Drosophila melanogaster: one gene and its partner. The gene in region 2 interacts genetically with the main gene of each other region. Each region holds a gene or a part of one and is shown on either strand. Other genes may lie near its edges.

The links.
Region 1: of Smg5 (region 2) and Gadd45, changing one suppresses a phenotype caused by changing the other (phenotypic suppression), as found in Drosophila melanogaster (one study listed by BioGRID).

The regions. Positions count from the first base shown.
Region 1 is NT_033778.4:7,245,974-7,253,359, reverse strand, and holds Gadd45 (growth arrest and DNA damage-inducible 45), read right to left. Parts: upstream 4,200-7,386; 5' UTR 3,940-4,199; coding exon 3,448-3,939; 3' UTR 2,705-3,447; downstream 1-2,704.
Region 2 is NT_033779.5:13,895,069-13,906,356, forward strand, and holds Smg5 (Smg5 nonsense mediated mRNA decay factor), read right to left. Parts: upstream 9,409-11,288; 5' UTR 9,139-9,408; exon of another isoform or gene 9,037-9,138; intron 8,864-9,036; 5' UTR 8,853-8,863; coding exon 8,713-8,852; intron 8,650-8,712; coding exon 7,007-8,649; intron 6,914-7,006; coding exon 5,564-6,913; intron 5,234-5,563; coding exon 5,075-5,233; intron 4,996-5,074; coding exon 4,754-4,995; 3' UTR 3,760-4,753; downstream 1-3,759. Other genes in the region: CenG1A (centaurin gamma 1A), read left to right, coding at 1-102, 187-321, 389-1,672, 1,737-1,854, 1,918-2,293, 2,358-2,681.

The DNA of each region.
Region 1 (7,386 bases), on a different chromosome or scaffold from region 2:
CTCAAAACTGTTAGAATCACGAAGCGGGCGCCACAATCTGGACCTTCTTATCAGCGCAGCCCAGCGAACTCAGCGAGATTTTGCGAAATCATGCTTAATATTCGCCGCGCGACTCCGGGGGAAATATTGTGCAATAATCACAATCGAGTGTGTAAAGCGGTTAAAGTTTACGTTTGTTTGCTGGCCTGGTATATCCCGAGCAATTTGAGAATTGAAAACCCCCGTTGGAAAACCCGTTTTTCACTGCGAAATTCATTCATAAGCGGACGGACAAGCCCTGGCTTCCCTCCGCGCCCTGCAATCAATCTAATCGATTGGCGGTGGAAAAGTTCAATGCTTTTGCGGTTAAGTGAAACGCAGTAAACAAATGTGGTCCGATTGGCTTAATGGCTCCCGAAAATGTGGAAATTCTGGCTAAATTATCAGTGGAGTGTCGGAGATTTCCACTCCCGAGTCTGGCCACCAAATGCCACGTACAAATGTACCTTTATCCCAGCCCATCCGTCGCACTTCCATGCGCAGTTGGTTCTGCGTATGGCGCGGCTGATAATTCTACGCCGCATAATCCGCCGGACTGGAACTCAAAACAGAGTGATAAGCGGCTGTGATTCCGCATAACCATGGTGCTACACGCCTACGGGGAAATCCGCGTCGCTCAACGCGCGCTTAAATGCCAGCTAACGCGTAAATCGAATTAATAATAACAACACCTTGTTTTCGATTCGCCCGAAGACAACATATTTGTTCCTGATCCCGGCCAGATACTACCATTGCATCGGCTTACCACCACCCAGAAAAGATGATGGAGGAGGAGGGGTTTTCACGCTGGGCCTTCAGCACGCGCTCATGACAATCACATGTGCAGGTTGGCAGAAACAGAAACTTTGGCCTGTCGCACGAATCCGAAACTAGTTTGCCAACAGGTTGTAAGTCGAGTGTGAGTATATGAGTATGAGTTCGAGTATCGAGCGGGGCATTCCGAATCGTTTTGATTCGCATTGAGAATTATGCTAATTTCCAGCTGGCGGGGCTAGCACCGCTATAAACCAATATGAATCATATATACCTTCGACGACGTCGCCGGTAGAGGCGAATCTCTGAAGCTTGCACTCCGTCCGCCCCCGGGAATCCGCCAAGTCACGCTCGCAGATGATCATGTTTGCATGAGTCTGGTCTCGGGTCCAAACTTCCCCTTTTCCAGTTGTCCAGCTGGCGGGGAAAGCTTGGCCCCAAGCCAAAGCCAAAGCCAAAGCTTCAATTGGCCAGTCAATGGCCGCATGGCTCGTTACCCAACTCGCAGTGACTTGGCCGAATCGGAATTGGCATTGAGCACTCTGGTCGTTCTTTGGAATTCACGCTCGTTTCGCTGGATCGGGGTAAAGTACACGCGGCGATGATTAAGTGGGGATGGCTTGTGTAAGTAGCGCTAACAGATCACTTGGATTTTGCCGAACACCCGGCAATTAACCCAATTGGATGTCGCACCAGGTCGCTGAAATGCACTGAGACAATAGGAGAAGTGATAATTAGAAGGGCATAGGCAATCTGAAACCGCCTCGAACCGATGCAGTTATCCAATTGTGCAATGGACAAGCTAATCAAACAATATTCTCTAAAGTGGAACAATAAATATCGAAGTATGCAATTGAAGTATATCGATCTGAAAAAAACGAATAAGTTGCTCAATATTATGTAATTGTGCTAACCGATGACTTGGCAATACATAATGAATTGCTACTCCAAACAGAGTTCTACTAGAGGATGATTATGATTATCACGTTAAGGCCATAACTAACCACATTTTAAAGTCTTGTTTCGGAAAGACGGAAAATTTGACTGGAACAGGCGCTAAACTGTTCCAAATTATCTCCGCCCGATCGCATCGCGTCGTGTCCAGACGATCCGCCGAACTGACCTATGTCTTGGCCACATGGATCCATGCTAATGGTCCTAATCAGTGGCAAACTCTTCCCAGTGATTTTCCCACGGCACGAGCTGCTCGCATGGCAGCTCCTCCGTGCGATGGGCTATCTATTTATTGTCTCTGCTGTCCGGTCCATCCATCCATTAGGCCAACATAGCGCGATGTCTGGCATTGATTACATTAACGTGTCTCGATGCTCAACATCTGTCTGGTTGGCCAAGTCAATTGGCATGATCGCGAGCGTGTTCGCAAATGAAACAAAGTGGGTCTCGTATGAAATTGTCTCGTTCATTGGATCGTAAATATCCCAGTACGATTTTTATAACGCCCATTGACTCTGATTAACTCAAGTGCTCCACGGTGCTTTACTTTTTTCCCCCTATAAGCATGACCCATACTTCTAATTGACTTTCCCACTGATCAGTGATGGGAACAATTAACTAGGCAAACTGACTATTCTCGCACCCATTATCTAAGTTGATAAAACTGCATACTTCGAGCCGAGGGCTTCTCCCAGTCTCCCCCAGATGGATGGCCCCGATTTCGGCGCTCACGCGTGTTTTCCATTCCACTGGGTTCCGAGAATTCATTGATAAGGCGTCCGATGGGGCCCTATATGCAAGGCACGCTCGATGGGGAAACCCCGGCAGTTATGCAAAGATTGATGAGTCGGGCGGCCTCCCGATCCAAATCCAAGGGATTTGTACCCATTGACGTCAGTTTGGATTGCTGGAAGAGAGTGCTGAAAGGGATGGGCAAAAAACAAGACGAAGAAAGTTTGGTTTTTATACAAGATTTTTATTTTTCATTTTTTATCAGTTTTTTTCAAACCTTTTTCAATTTTCTTTTTGTGCTTAAGTTAGATAACATTTTTTTGTGTGCTTTCATCTGATGTTTTTTTTTTGGAAAAGCTAACATAACAAAACTTTAATGGTATACATGCAATTGGCTGCTCTCCTTTTAAGTATAATTTACAATTTACGGCGTACAGAATAATTGTCATTATCAGTAAATTTGCGCGACGCTTAAAGCGAAAATTATACAGAAACAAATTGGCTATATTTATGTATGGTTCTGTGTACATATGTGCACATATGTTTTGTTGGTTCGGCAGCTGGTCACGCGCTTGTGTGTGATGCTGCTCCTTGGCTGTGTGCGTGAGTATCTGTGCGCGACTTCCGCGGGTATCTCAGCTGCAGTTACTGCCGCCTCGAAGGTCGCCTTTCAGTTTCAATTATCCGCCAAGGCGCCGGCTTATCCATCTCTGCTCCCCTCCTCCCTCTCCTGCTTCCTGAATACAGCAGGTTAGGGTATATACATATGTCGTATTCTATATATCCTATGTAGGTGTACATGTGCCGGTGGGCTTCTGGCAGCGCCACGAAACGTCGGATTCCCTCGGGAACTCTCCAAGACGTTCGGGGCCATCAACCCCCAGCAACTGGTTTCCATTAGAGTTTGCTTGCGCCCACTGTGCGGGGCCATTCAATTCTGTGACATCTGGCTGTCCCGCTCACACGCGCCTACACAGCCGGCAGCTGGACAATGGGCTGCTGGGGGGCGTCCCAGTGGGCCTCGCAGTAGTCGACTAGCTGGTTCTCGGCCTTGGTCAGCTGCTCCTCGGGGGCGTCGGCCCAGACCTTCTGGACCAGGCAGCACGACTCGACGGAGTCCTGGCCGAGGATGCGGCTCAGCTTGGTGGCGTCGTCCACCTTGATCACGTAGATGTCGTTCTCGTAGCAAAAGGCCTCCAGCAGTACCTCGTGCATGTGGGTGGCAGAGTCGCCGTCCTTGGGCTGGGCCATCAGGCAGAAGAGGGATCCCTCCGGCGACTTGGAGAGCACGTTGATGGCGGCGGACAGGCCCACGATCACACGCGCCTCGCTCTGGGCCCTTAGAAGGGCCGACTTGATGGTGCGTCCGATGGGGGCACACTCCATGGCCATATCGATCTCTAGCTCCAGGTCCAGTTCGCGCTCCAGGTGGTGCATGCTGCAGTTCTCCTCGACGACCATATTGTGGGTGTTATCCGTTTGGTTGTGCGTTTGCTTTGGGTTTTGTGTTATTTTCGAGCCGTTGGCTTCCACTTTTTGGGCACTTTCAGCTGGCACTGTTTGTTGTTGCTTTTGCTATGCTTTGCTTTGCTTTCGAGTGTTTTTGTTTAGCACCCGATTAACTTTTGCTTATGAAATTCTTTTCGCACTGGGCTTTGTGTTTCTTCAACCGTTTGTCCGCGCTGTTTCAATTTTGAGTGGCAATTTCACAATGAATGCTTTCGGTTGGCGAGCGAACGCTTTTATAGCCGCGCTCTCCGCCGCCTGAGAATTCCACTGAATTTCATCAGAAATGCGAGAGCGAGAGCTTTTTAGGGGGGCTCGCTCTCCCGCTCTTGCGCTCTTTCAGCCAAATCGGGTTTTTTCATTACTTTTTTTGGGATCCGAAAGATTTCCGTTGATGTCGCGGCAATTAGCAGATTGGGGGTTTCTTTCCATCACACCCAAACTGCAATCTGCAGTTTTGGACGCTCCAAATGGGGTCAGGAAACTTGGCTCCCCCGGAAACTCGGCTCTCCCACTCGCAAAGGCAGGGAAAGTGTCTCCCTTAAGTAAGAGCTTCGCTTTCATTATCTTTCGCGCGAAAAAATCGTGTGCGAACATGCTTTGAGTAAATCGCAATTTGCTCATCAAAATTCGAACAAAAATTCGTAAATAAATTTCACTTGAACGGTTTTCTTAAATTTAGTACATACATTTCGCCAGAACCCCGTGAATGGACCACTAATACCTGATGGCTGATGGCGAGCAACAGGTCCAAGTGTGTCGCATCTCGGCGACCAACGCGACGTATGCGCAACTCGCGTATACTAGGCGTATGATTAACGAATGACCTTACTTACCCAAGTTAACCCGAATTTTATTTCTGGCCAGGCTTCGCACGATCTTATTCTTTTTGCATTTGGCCAGACGGCCGGACAAACAGAATCGCATGTCCAAACACAAAGGGAGTTGCTAATCAATTTATCGCGGCATTCCAATTTTAAATTCCCCCCCTCCGCGCTGCACATTCGGCACGTGGGAACGTGTCGGAATCGCCAGTCGAGATCGCCACTGAGTTTTATCAATTGAACCCGAGAACTACGCCATCCGGCGGAATTTCCAGCTCGCTTCTCCTAAGGGGTTCAACTACCGCTGGCCGTGCACTTTAGTAATTAATTATTACTTTAATCGCCGAATCAGCATAGGTTCGCAGGTTTTGTTAAGGCTATAAATAGCACCTGAAAATCGATGCCTACATATGTATGTACATACATACATACATGTGTTTTGGTTTTTTGGAGTTGAACAAACTGCTGAGCGTGCAGCGTAGAATTGAAAACAATTCCTGGGCAGCTGCAGCATGTAATTCAGCAAGATTTACGACAAAAAAAGTAAAAAGCTATGAAAAGTATACAACCCTAAAGAAGGCAAAATAAGAAGGGTTATATTTAGGTTAAGATCACTTGTTTTCATCTGTGCATCTGGGCAGGTGATATGTTTAACTCAACCCAACCAAGCTGATAGTCAGCCCATGATCATAACAATAACATATGTATGTAAATATGTACATATATATGTGCATGCAATTTGAAGAAGCTTCTGGTCTTTCAATAACATACTACTATGATTAAGAGTAGGGTGATTCGAATTACTGACCTATGCATGTATTTAGACCCGAAAACATAAACAACTGTCGTGCTTATGAGGGGCATACCTGTAGTAAGTGGATCAGCCGCGGAAGTGCTGAAAGTTGGAAATCGCCGACTCAGCTACGAATTTGCGCGCCAAATTCGCCTCGAAAGTGGCCAATGAACCGCGGAAATGCAGTGGCATTTTGGGGGTTTTCTAGCTAAAACCGGACAGACATCATTGGTCATCTGTTCGCCCAATACTTGTAATTATGAAAATATCATTATAAAAAGCATATTTTATATTTGTTATGCTTAATAATTGACCCATTCATAAAAATTATACGCATATACGCAAATTATACTAATCGTAGTACTTAAAAATTGCTTATTTTACCGTTTCTAACCCCATGTGATATTTTTCAAGATAATCATACTAGTGAGTACCATTTTAGCTTGTTTTATAACAAATATGCATATCTATTACTTAAATACGCATTTGCAGTGACAGAAAATAAAACTATTGCCTTGTCATTCCAGCGCGGAATTCGAGTTGTCACAAGTGCATAAAGGGCACCACTACAGCATTTTCTATTGCTGCGGCGAACGTGCGGATTAGAAGTTTTGGTTCTTCATCCAGCTTGATCCGCACGTCACAATCGAACCCAAGGAATTCAGATATTTTTAGCCTTTTGCGTGGGACTTCAATGGCACCTCTGCCCGTTGCTTTTGTGTGCCATGCCACCCAGTTGTGTGTGCAACATGCGCCCATCACATGTGAAGCCACCACATTGGATGGATTTCATTGCTGGCTTATTTCGAGGGAGAATCGTGGAGCCCACGGAGTGATCGGGCATGGATCGGAGGCACTTCGCCGGCGGTTGCCCCACTGCTGAGTCACGCCGGCGCAGCACTAAACTGGGCCCAAACCCAAACCGAAACCCAAATGCCAAGCGAAGAGCCAAATGAGTCAAAGAGTCAAAAGAGAGTGGGAACTGGTTTTTGAAGAGTTCCCCCACATTCGGCATTCGGCTATCGGCATTCCATTTTAGGCCGGTCCAAAGTCCGCAAGTCTGAGTACCTGCAACCGGTCACCAAGCCACCATGAATGGCCGATGAATGCCGCCCGAATCCTCACGTGCACCAGCATCACGCTGGAAAACGAGATATCTCGCGCCGGCGTGGAGGTCTCCAAGGTGCAATTTTGTATGCAGTGCGGCTATGCTGGGGGATTTCCCATTTGGCTGCGATTGGCTGCAGGGAAAACCCAGTTTCCAAAAGAGTTCTCTGCGAAAAACCCCCAATGCAGTGCAGTTTATTTTTTCGATGCGTGGTTTTTCCCACTCCAAACCAGATACCATAATGTATTCTCTTATTTATCGTGGGGCTTTTGGCAAGGGAGTTTCGGTTATCTGAGCGAGCAACGTTCTTTCCAAATAATTAGGTCTTGTCTCGCATTAAATAATATTGCGAAACATTTGGCAGCGCCTTTCGAATAATGGCGAAATGATTCAGCTGCTCGCTGGTGGGCAGATGTACATCACTTGCAGGGCTGAATTCTTTGCACGATGGTAAACTTGTTTTGAGAACCTGGTGAAATTAAAAAAAAAGGAGGGCAAACAAAGCTGAAACTGAAAGAAAGCCATAACATTTCCGCAAAATGTGTGTATTTCGTTATATATTCCAATTGTAAGGTTCTCTACTTTTTAAAGAGTTGTTACTAGAGCTCAGGTAATTTCAATGTATATGTTTACAGATACTTCGATTTTTATTTATTTACAAAGAAAATTTTTAAAAT
Region 2 (11,288 bases):
TGGAGAACGAGGGCAGCTTCAATACCGTCTATAACTACTATACGAAAATGGCGCATTTTCGTAATGGCCAGGAAATACCCATGATATTGGTCGGAACGCAAGGTAAATAGCCTATAATAAGAATATAAACATTTTCGTTTCTTATATAACTCATTATTACATTATTTATTAATATTATCTATATAGACGCCATCAGCGAGCGCAATCCTCGCGTGATTGACGACACCCGTGCCAGGAAATTGGCCAGCGATCTGAAGCGTTGCTCCTACTACGAGACCTGCGCCACCTACGGCCTGAATGTGGAGCGTGTCTTTCAGGATGGTAAGTAGCCCGAACTCAAATAGCATAATCACAGACGAGTAATCAAATGTAATTTAATCCTTTTCAGCCTGTCAAAAGATCCTCTCGCAGCGCCTGCCTTTGCCACCACAGGTGCAACCGGCGAGACCCACGACTCCGCAGGGCAATCGCCTGGGATTGGCTCCCTACCAGGCGCCCACCAATGGACAACGTGGCCAGCAGCAGCTACCACTGCGAATGAGTGCGGATTTCGCACAGGCGGAGCAGAAACTTTGGTCGCTGCAAGCGGCCAGCAGTTCCACCATAAACGAGAATAACAACATCACCAAATACAATCCCGGAGCGGCCAATTCGCTGCAGGGTGATTGCTCCCAGGTGCAGTTGCGCGATCCACGTGATCTGGCGCCACCACCGGGTAAGGAGCTGCCCACACCCACCTCGACGCCCACGACGAGCCGCAAGAGCCGGCGGCGTTCGAACCTCTTCATCCCCTCCTCTTCGAAGAAGGCCGACAAGGAGAAGGAGCCAAAGAGCAGTGAACTGGGCAGTGGACGTTCCATACCCATTAAACAGGGCTACCTGTACAAACGCTCTAGCAAATCCTTGAACAAGGAGTGGAAGAAGAAGTATGTGACCCTGTGCGACGACGGCAGGCTTACCTATCATCCCTCTTTGCACGACTATATGGACGATGTGCACGGCAAGGAGATTCCGCTGCAGTACGTCACCGTAAAGGTGCCGGGACAGAAACCTCGTGGCTCCAAGAGCATAATCACGAACAGTGCGCTCACCAGTTCACTGATGGCCAATGGCCAAAGAGCTCAGAACACTCTGAGCGATGGCATCGGTTGTCTCACCCTGGCCAAGGACAATCAGCGCAAGCTGAGCGAGAAATTATCCCTACTCGGAGCCGGATCCATTGCAGCTGGTGCCGGTGGAGAGCCTTTGAAGTCGAATAGCTCACAGCAGACGAGCGGTGACGAGGGCATAGCCATGTCCAATTCAAATTCACAGACTTTTATCGCCGGAGAAGTGGCCAATGCGGGAAATAAGCTGGAGGCCCAGACGCCGAACGTGAAGAAGCGACATCGCCGCATGAAGAGCAGCAGTGTCAAGGCGAACGAGGCGGACGACAACGATGGCTATGAATTCTACATCGTATCGCTGGACTCCAAGCAGTGGCACTTTGAGGCTGCCAATTCCGAGGAGCGCGACGAGTGGGTAGCGGCCGTCGAGCAGGAGATCTTCAAGAGCCTGCAGAGCATCGAGAGCAGCAAGACCAAACAGGCCACCAGCACTGATCTCGCTGCCATGCTGGCCATCCGTCAGCGGGTTCCTGGCAACGGCTTCTGCGTCGACTGTGGAGCGCCAAGTGAGTTTAACTTTAAATCGGGTGCGTTGTACATTTACTAATCCTTCTGCTTTACTCCTTCCAGATCCTGAATGGGCTAGCTTAAACTTGGGCGTACTCATGTGCATCGAGTGCTCGGGCGTGCATCGCAATCTTGGCTCGCACATATCCAAGGTTCGCTCTCTGGGCCTGGATGACTGGCCGTAAGTTTATTTTTAATTTGCCTGCTTATCATTATTCTAACATATAATTTTTTACTCCACCAGATCCCCGCATCTCAGTGTGATGCTGGCCATTGGCAACAGTCTGGCCAACTCGGTTTGGGAGTCGAACACGCGGCAGCGGGTCAAGCCCACTTCGCAGGCCAGTCGCGAGGACAAAGAGCGATGGGTGCGCAGCAAGTACGAGGCCAAGGAGTTCCTGACGCCACTGGGCAACGGATCCTCAGCGCATCCAAGCCCAAGTCCGGGTCAGCAGTTGATCGAGGCTGTGATCAGGGCGGACATCAAGTCGATCGTTTCGATCTTGGCCAATTGTCCGTCCGAGGTGACCAATGCGAATGTCAGCGCAAGAGATGTGCGAACTCCGCTGCTGCTTGCCTGTGCCATAGGCAATCTGGCCATAGCACAGCTGCTCATATGGGTAAGTTAACTGGAGACCAAATCAAGTGAATCAGTTGTTAATACGTACGTATTGCTCCTTCCAGAATGGCGCAAACATTAAGCACACGGATCATGAGGGTCGCACCTGCCTGGCCTACGCTCGAGCGGCACAATCCCTGGCCACCGCCAAGTCGATCAAAGCCGCTGCAGCTGCGCAGGCGGGCACAACGATTCCGGCTCCTGCTCCGCCCACAAACGGTGGCATTCCTGCTCCCCAATACAATGTCGAGGACACGACGGCGCTGGTGGAGCTGCTCGAGGGACTGGGCTGTCCAGAGGCGGCTCCTCTGACGGCCAGTGGCACTTTGCCTAGGAGACGTGACACGTTAGGCACTCCGTACGAGAAGTCGGTGTCGGGTGTGATCTGAATTAGTTAAAATTGAAATAAGATAAGCGTGAATTTTCATAACAGTTGTACAATTCATTAGTTTTTGTTGTTCATGACGGACTTAGTTTAAATTCGAGCGTAAAAAATGTATAGCGTTTAGTGTTTAGGTTTTAGGAATGTTGTGCAAATGTTTAATATTATTATTATTTGGCAAGTGTTGAATGGAAATTCACAAGTTTTATTTATGTTTTCTTTTAGTTTGTTTAGTTCTTAAGACATGGAAACCTGTACAGCCTTGTTGTAATCTCAAGTGTATAATTTATTATTTTCGTATTACGTGAAACTATTATTATTGTTTTTTTTTTATAGTGTGCAGGTTTTTAAATCGTTTGCAAAACAATTATTTAGTAGCTATTGTAACTTTCGACAACCATCAGCAGATTGCAAAAGACTTCACGTAACAAAAAACATACTTATACAACCTAAACAATAGATAAAAGCTGATGCAAAATATACGTATAAACGAAATGAATCTAAGATTAAAGCCAAAAACAAACTTATGCTAAACAATATACACGAACATATATATATATATACATTATATACATACATAGTTGAAATTGCTTGATAATCGGTTTAAACAAATGAACACGCCCAAAATGTAGCTTATGCAGAACCAAAATCACAAAATTCTTTGCTATATAAATTCCAAACAGAAATAACTCGTTTTAGATATTATACTGCGGAAAAAATTGGATTCTGATTGTATGACGGAATCTGGGTAGACAAAAATTTAATTGAAAGTATTTCAAAACTATTATACAAAATAGTTATAAATCAATCTAAATATTACTATATGTATACACCCCTATGTATTGTGTACGCTATTTGTACGAATTACAAACCACAAAACGTGACAAACTCAATCTAATTGGAAGGAAAAGTAGCACACAAAAACCACAAAAGAAAAAAACCCCTTCAATAAAAATCTATTAAACATTTTAAACTGTGTGTTTGATTTCACGAGGAAAGTGAAGAGTATATACCATTAAATGTCCTGTTTTTCCAGTTCTGATATGTCAACCAAAAGCTGTTTTAATGAAAACCATAATAAAACAACATTTTTTTGTGGTTGGGCGCTTTATTATTCAAACAAAATGTAACATAACTTTCAATTTTGGAAACATTTAGAATGACGTAGAATTTTGTTGACATATGTGCGGCACTTTCCTTTATTTTGTAATGGGAAATTGCATTGGTGAACCACAAGAGAGAGTTTTTAGGGACTGCATTAAAATGTAAGTTTTATATATATATATATGTATACCATATACTTTGTTCTTGCGAAGAGGATCACGCGGATTGCCTAGTCAGAAGCGTGAAAATTTAAATAAACTCTGTCTGCAAAACCGAGAACGAAACACAACTGCAGGAAAGATCAAGAGTTTTTGGATCCATAGTCCAGCCCGACACAGGAAATGCGAAATCTTGAATACGACATGGTACATCAAGCAAATAACCGATTAGAAGGTCGATCCGTCCTGGTCGCCGTCATTCCGCTCTCCCAACTGTTCCACGAAGATCTTCTGTCCGTGAACCGCTCAGGTCATGCCTGTCGTTATCTTGAAAAGTTGTTCGATTGATTGATATTTTTTTTTTACGATTTTTTTCTCTTAAGAATTTTTGTTGATGATTGTGCGTTTGCCATTGTCCACTTAACATTTGCTGGGAGGTCGTCATCATTGTAGCCATCGAGTTGAAAGTGAACGATTTTGATTGGTATTTTGTTTTAGTTTGGTCTAAACACAACAAGCAAATTCGCAATGCTGCTGCTGCACAGGCTAGGCTGGCGGAATCTTGCTCCGGCTGATGGTAACAGTTTCAGTTTCAGTTTTTTTTTGGGGAAAACACGGCCACAACCGAAGCTGCAGCAGCGATTGCTGGTTTGGTTTTGCCGTCGTCCACGGCCATCGTTAACTTTGGAACTCCATGTCGATTTGTGGTTGTACAGAGAGAACACGCTCGCACCCTTTTTAGCTCGCATTGCATTTGGTCTGCAGTTGCCTTTGCCGCCTTAGCGCCCGCTACCGTTGCCGCTCCACTTGGGCCCGTTCATTTTTTGTTGGCCTTAAATTTTGCGTAGAAGCTCTGGATTTGGGCATAGCGTACGGGTATCGAGTCAAGGATGCCGGTGTAGCTGAAGTTCTGTTGCTGGCGGTTCTTCTCGTGCAAATTATCGCCGGACAAGTACGTGACGACGCTCTTCTGCAGTTCGCTGACGTGCGGATCGGCATGGTTGGCCACCAAGTGATTGCAGAACTGGGCAATTTGAAGGAAAACTGAGGCGTCACGATCTATAAGTAGCAATAAAAAAAAACAACACAACACCATTAGCTGGCTAATTCTCGTGCGATAAATATTTGCTAAACTCACCCATCTTGCGTGATATCTTCAGCAGGGATAGCGGCTGACTTTCGTTATCGCGCTGGGCACGCAAGTGCCTATTGCCCTGTTTAAACTCCTGCTCCAGCCAACGGATGACATGGCGCACATTCTCGCTGCGTTTCTTCAAGTCATCCAACTCATTGAGCACTAAATGAGAAATGATAATAGATTAGCATGGGGTCTTTCTCCTTGGGTACAGGTTAAGTACATTCTTAATTGTAAATACACTTTACTATAAAAACAATTGGAAAGAAAACAACAGGCAAATCAAATGAGCTACCGTCATATCAGAAGTGTTAAGAATCTAATCTGTTCTACTATAAAAGCTCACTGGATTTCAGGGAATACCACAAAGTAATAAGCTTGTTGATATGAGATTGTATAGATTATTTAAATTTTGAAGTTCTAAAGTCGTCATTCTATGTCATTGTTACTTTCCACTTTGTTATCAACCCACGCGGAGGTATGCGCACTCACCTGCATTTGGAATGAGGACAATGCACTTCTTGGTCCTCACCAGCGACTTGACTATGCCATTGTATTCGGTCAATGCCTTCGAATCGACCACCACAAATGGGGACATCACCACATGAGCGGGACTGTCCCGCAGCTCCTCCTCCAAAGTCTCCACCTCGTTTTGCAGCCACAGCTTGCCCATGAGCTCACACTTCTTCGACTTGGCCTCCGAGCGCTCTTCGTCGGCCCCCGAGCTGGACTGCAAATTCAGTTTCTCGATGACACTGTTTGTGGTTGTGGAGGCGGAGGTTCCGCCGGCGACAGAGGTTCCCGTGGCACTGGTTATAACAGCAGCCGCCTTCTCGGCATTGCGATTCCTTAGGTAACCCTTGCGTGGCATCTTGCGGCACTCCTCCACGGTGTCCTTTTCCTCGTTACTGGTGTAGCTCTTGCGGACGATGCCGTTCTTGCGATCGGAGTAGCGACGTGTGCGTCCTTCGTTCCGCTTTGTTCGGTTGGTCTTCGGAGCGGTACGACGCTCGCGGCGACGTGATCCGCCTCCCTTCTTCTCCTCGCGCTGTTTCTTCTTTTGGGTCTCGGTGAAACGACGCGTCTTGACGCAGAATCTGTAGTTAAACTTCTTCTGCTTGCAAATGAAAAAGCCAAAGTCGACCATTTTGAAAATACGGAGAATGGACTCTTCCTGGGGAGTGACACGCTCCCGGATAATGGTCTCCCAGTCCAGTGTAATCTGGGTGCTCTGGAAGATGTCAAAGTTCTTGAAAGCAAAGTCCTCGGTGAGCGGAACGTTGGCGCGCACATCGAATAACTCGACCAGAGAATCACGCACGTTGGCAGTGGTCAGAAGGTCGCGCTCGAAGTAAACCTTCCTGGTGAAGATGTCGATGTTGCAGTAGTTGAGAAGCTTCATGATCTTGTGCACAAACTCCGGATTCGAGTGGTAGCAGCCGATGAGAATCTCTGGGTTGATTCGCAGCCAGTCAAAAAGCATTTTCAGGGCTCTAATGGTCGGTTCATTGTGCAGACAGTCAATGACTATGTTGGGATTGATCTTGGTGTACTTGTTGCGATAAACCAGCTTCTTTGGTGGCTCTGAAAAGCTGACGGGCGGAGGTGCCACCGGCTTGCTTTGAGCATCCTCTGCGCTCTTAAAGTTCAGCTGCAGTACCTCAAAGCTGCGCAGCAACTCCTCAGAGTCCGCCTCCTGTGAGTTGGATCTGCGCTCTACTTCGTTGGGATACACGATTTTCTCCTCCTCAATAACAACGTCTTCGTTGTCGGAGTACACCACGCCACCGACTCCTCCTCCGCCGCCGCCGCCAGCTTTGCGCTCCTTTTTGCTGTAATTAGCTGTTAGGATTTGTAAGATTTTAGAAAAAAGTGTAAAAAGGTTTTCCAACTTAAGCCTTTTGCTTAGATGGAAATTGGGTTTCAAAGACTCACCTGCTGCATAGCGCTCTTCGCCGCATGGCTCCCCAGGATCAGCTGCATCAATGTCGCTGAAATCGGTGTCAAAGTTAGAACTTAGATCTGTGTAATCCTCCTCGTCGCTGTAAAAGTCTGTGTCCAGTTCGCTTTCGCTGTCATAGCAGGAGCTGTCGTCCGACTGGGCGATCTTGCGGCGTCGGCGGCGTAGACGCATTCCCCGTCGCTTGCTCTTGCAGGAGAGCGGGGTCTTAAGGTCGGACTCCTTGGCCTCGTCACTGGAGCGCGTGGAAACGGCCTCACCGATCTTGTCGCCGTCAGCAGCCTCCTGGGTCTTTGCCTCCTCGCCAGAGTGCTGGCTGTCCCGCGAATCCGAACTGCAATCCTTTAGAGAGTGCGGGCGTGGCATCAACTTCTTGTCCTTGCGCTCACATTCGCCTACTGCAGCTAGCCAGTTCTTGTACTCATTCCGGGACTTGCGCACCACAGTATCGAACTCCTGAAAGCGTTCCTCGTACTCCGCCTGGAAGCGCTCGTTGTCTTGGGCGCGAGCCAGGATTGTCTGCTCGATGCTGACGATGCAGGCGTCCATCAGATCGGAACAGGCAGCAACCAGAAAGGCGTGCAGCGAGTAAACCTTTGGTGAGTTGATCATCTTAAGCTTGGACAGACAGAAGAACAGAATGGAGACAATCTTGAAGATGCTTGGCTCCGGAACGCGCAGCTGCTGGGAGCACAGGATCTTGCGTAGATCAATCAGCACACAGTGGCACAGAGCGTTAAAGTCCGGCACTTCCTTGTCGAAGAAAAATATGTCCACAATCAGATAGAAACGGGCAAAGAAGTCCTCGATGTTGAAGTCTAGTTTTTCTGGATCCATACGCTCTAGGTATTCGGTGTGCTTGGCGAACAGCTTGTTAAGATTATTTTCGCTTAGTTCGAATGGTATGATGCACACAAGGGAGTACAAGTAGTGGTAAGTGGAGTCCAGGTCATGATTCTGTCCGTAGTGCAGTGTACCCAACTGGTTCTGGGCCATGCCAATGGCCGGATTAAGCTTGAAGGCCTCCAGATAATACTTGGCCACCTGCTCCTTGCTTATGCTTAGTTTGCTGTCGATGCGAAAGTCTAGAAAGTAGCGATGAAGATCGCCCAGACTGAGCAGCGATGAGTGTATGGTGTCGAGTGCAAAGGACACGGCCTCCAGACTCTTGTCCACCGCGTGGGTGCCCGAGTGCGATGACTCCATGGTGTCTCCGATCATGTCGCTTATGTAGCCATCACTGATTATGGAGAAATCAATCAAATACTTTAGATCCAGATCATAGATCTCTTCCATGCGTGCCGACAATCGTTTGTAGTTGAAGATGCCAGCGCAGAGGAATCGCTCCAGCTTTTGCATGTTCTCTTGGGCCGTGGCCGCATCCTGGCACTGCTTGTGCCAGTTCTTCTTCACGAAGGCAATGAACTCGTAGTATCCACGTCGCCACATCACCTCGCGCACCTTCTTGCCCACCGACTGGTAGTCCTTGAAGATGATCTGCTTGCACAGCTGCACTAGGAGCGAGCGTTTCTCTTCGATTTCGTGCTGGAACAGCTGTCCCACCGACTGCACATTCCTCTTGGCATCGTCCAGTTGCTTGGAGGCGGTGTAGAGGGATCTGTATGGACGATTTGATGCGATTTATAGTAATCCACCTGTAACACTCACTTTAACACCTTACCTGTAAAGATCCTTTACCTCCTGGCTGAGGATGCAGGTTCCATTGTTGGGCTCCAAGCCGCGACAGCGATTCGTGCCGCCGTCTATGGCGCACTCGCTGGAGGCGTTCGATGATCCGCCCGAGCTGAATGTCACCTCCATTGTTCGAGGTACTGAAACATACAAATTACCAAGCATATCATATGAGAGTTCTGAAAAGCTACAGTAAACACAGCTGCCAACTGAGGAGATACAGTAAACACCCACTAGATAGTTGAATGTTCCAGCTGTTCCTTGACTTTCGTTTTTCTGCTGACGAATTGTTTTTCGAAATAAAATAGCGTACTTTATTGTTGTTATTGTATTGTTTTTGTTTCAACTGGTGACGCACACAAACACATGCGCATTGCGTAGTTTCGTTTTATTGAATAATCAATTGAACACACACACAGATACTTTTTGCTTTTGCCTTTTTGCTTTTCTCTGCTCTGGTATTTTCGATACTGCAGCAATTGCGATTGCGAAAAAAAACTATGCGATGCGCTGCTGCGCTGCGTTATTTGGATGCACTTTTGCCAGCAGCGCTCAGGTAGAATCAAATGACGTCCATCAACTGTTTACCTGCGCGATTTGCATTACCTTTTATGCGGATTTAGTTGCTCTGTTTGGTGTGTCGTTCTGCAAATTTCACGTTTTCGCTCTTCCTTTGTTAAACAACAAGATGGCGCATGCACGGTCAGACTGCGCAGTCCGCAATGCTCATGCAATGTTCGATTTTTTTCTTTGGCGGGTAATTCAGAAGGGCTGGAACAATGGCTGCTAAATAGCAGGCAACAATATGTGGAATGTGTTAGGTAAAATTGGTCGCATTTAGTGTAAATTTGTTGATTTCAATGCCTAAATAGCATCATGCAGAGCTGTTTCGCCTCAGTCTTTTCAGTGCTGGAAAACTCGCTGTCGGTATCGCTGTAGGTATCGATTGTTGTCTCATCGGCGGGTTATTCGAATTACTCGACATTTTACATTTCGAATGTAAAAAGGGTATAAGTTTTGTCTGTAATTTACAATGGCAATAAAATAGAATCAAAATTAATTCCTCTTATACTTAAATATTGACAATATTAATTCTCTTGCTTGAATTTTGGTGCTTTATTTGGGTCACATATAAACGAAAGAAATAAAAAAGTAAAAAATGCAATATTTAGCAAATAAATAAAATGTGTGAAAGGAGCAATGGCCACCAACTTATGTTTTTTTCTGTACCCAAAGGGAGATAAGTGCCCATTAGTTTATTTTCATCACAAGTTTTATCACCTTTTATTGACTTAGTCTTTTTTTCGTTGCGTCTTCAATAATATTTGCCAAATGTGAGGAAATGTGTCAGGCATATTAATGATCTTCCAAACATCGGCTTATCTTCGCGCCTACCTGGCCGAGAACCCCAGACGGATTGGAAACATCAGACGCGACTAAGCCGATCTCGCATTAAAAATAAATAATGCTCGAGTTTATCGACCATTTCTCTCGGCGACATTAAGTCGTTTGGTCACTCGATTAGCGTTGGGCACGTCGAGGGGCAGATAGCCCAAGTCACTCTAAAAAAAATGCCGAGAAGTTTTATATGATTCATAGCTTATTACTTATTTTTTATAGTTTAAATATATTTATATTTCATTATCGTTTGCTCGTATGTCTCCAGAGATTTCAATATCAGAACAAATTGGGTTTAGGGAAATAGTGAACAAAATAAAGCAAACAAGTGTGTTTCCAGATCAGCCATGAACATATTGCATGCATATTCGATTTTTTCTCAGTGCATTATTGCCGGCCGATTCTCGGGCAGTTCCTCTGCTCTTGGCTATAAAACTCGCACAATCTTACTCGAGCGTTCTCAGTTTTAGTTCAGACCGCTGGCGAACCGGTCACGTTCGATTGGTTGGGAAATATCGCCGGACAGAACGTAAGTTTCTCTTTCGAATTTTGAGAACTTGAAACAAGTCATTCGCTTTAGGGCAATTAACGGATTTTCAAATAGCCTTTAGTAGCCTTTAATTGGGGTAGTTAACAATTACTTTTATGACATAATTACTTGGCGAACTGTTTCGCGATTAGTGCCTTTTTTAATATTTACTATAAATGTTCAATTTTACCAGTCACTATAATCCCTTGATAATCTTATCAAAATCGTGTAGTACACACCACGGATCTATTGTGTTTTTCACAGTCATTTCGGTGGACATGGTCGTAAATTCAAGAAATATCTGAAACACTTCTGCGGTGGTTAGTCGATCTAATCGATGTTATTTACGATCTATGACCATAAATTGTTAGTTTATTTAATACTGTGTACCAAAAGCGACTGTTATTTGCTTAGGTTGCACTTACGATCGTTTCTGTCCATATAGATGTTAGATAAAATAAAAGTCGTAGTTTGTTAAGCAAAAGAACATATAATTGATTACCTGAAAGTACTCTCTTCTGAAAATTGATTTTGTAACAGATCGAACCAACCATAACGAGTATCTTATCTTATTGGTCGGTTTGTTCAGTTGAAGTGACTTCCAGAGTATTATCAATATTGTGGGCAATCACTTGAGA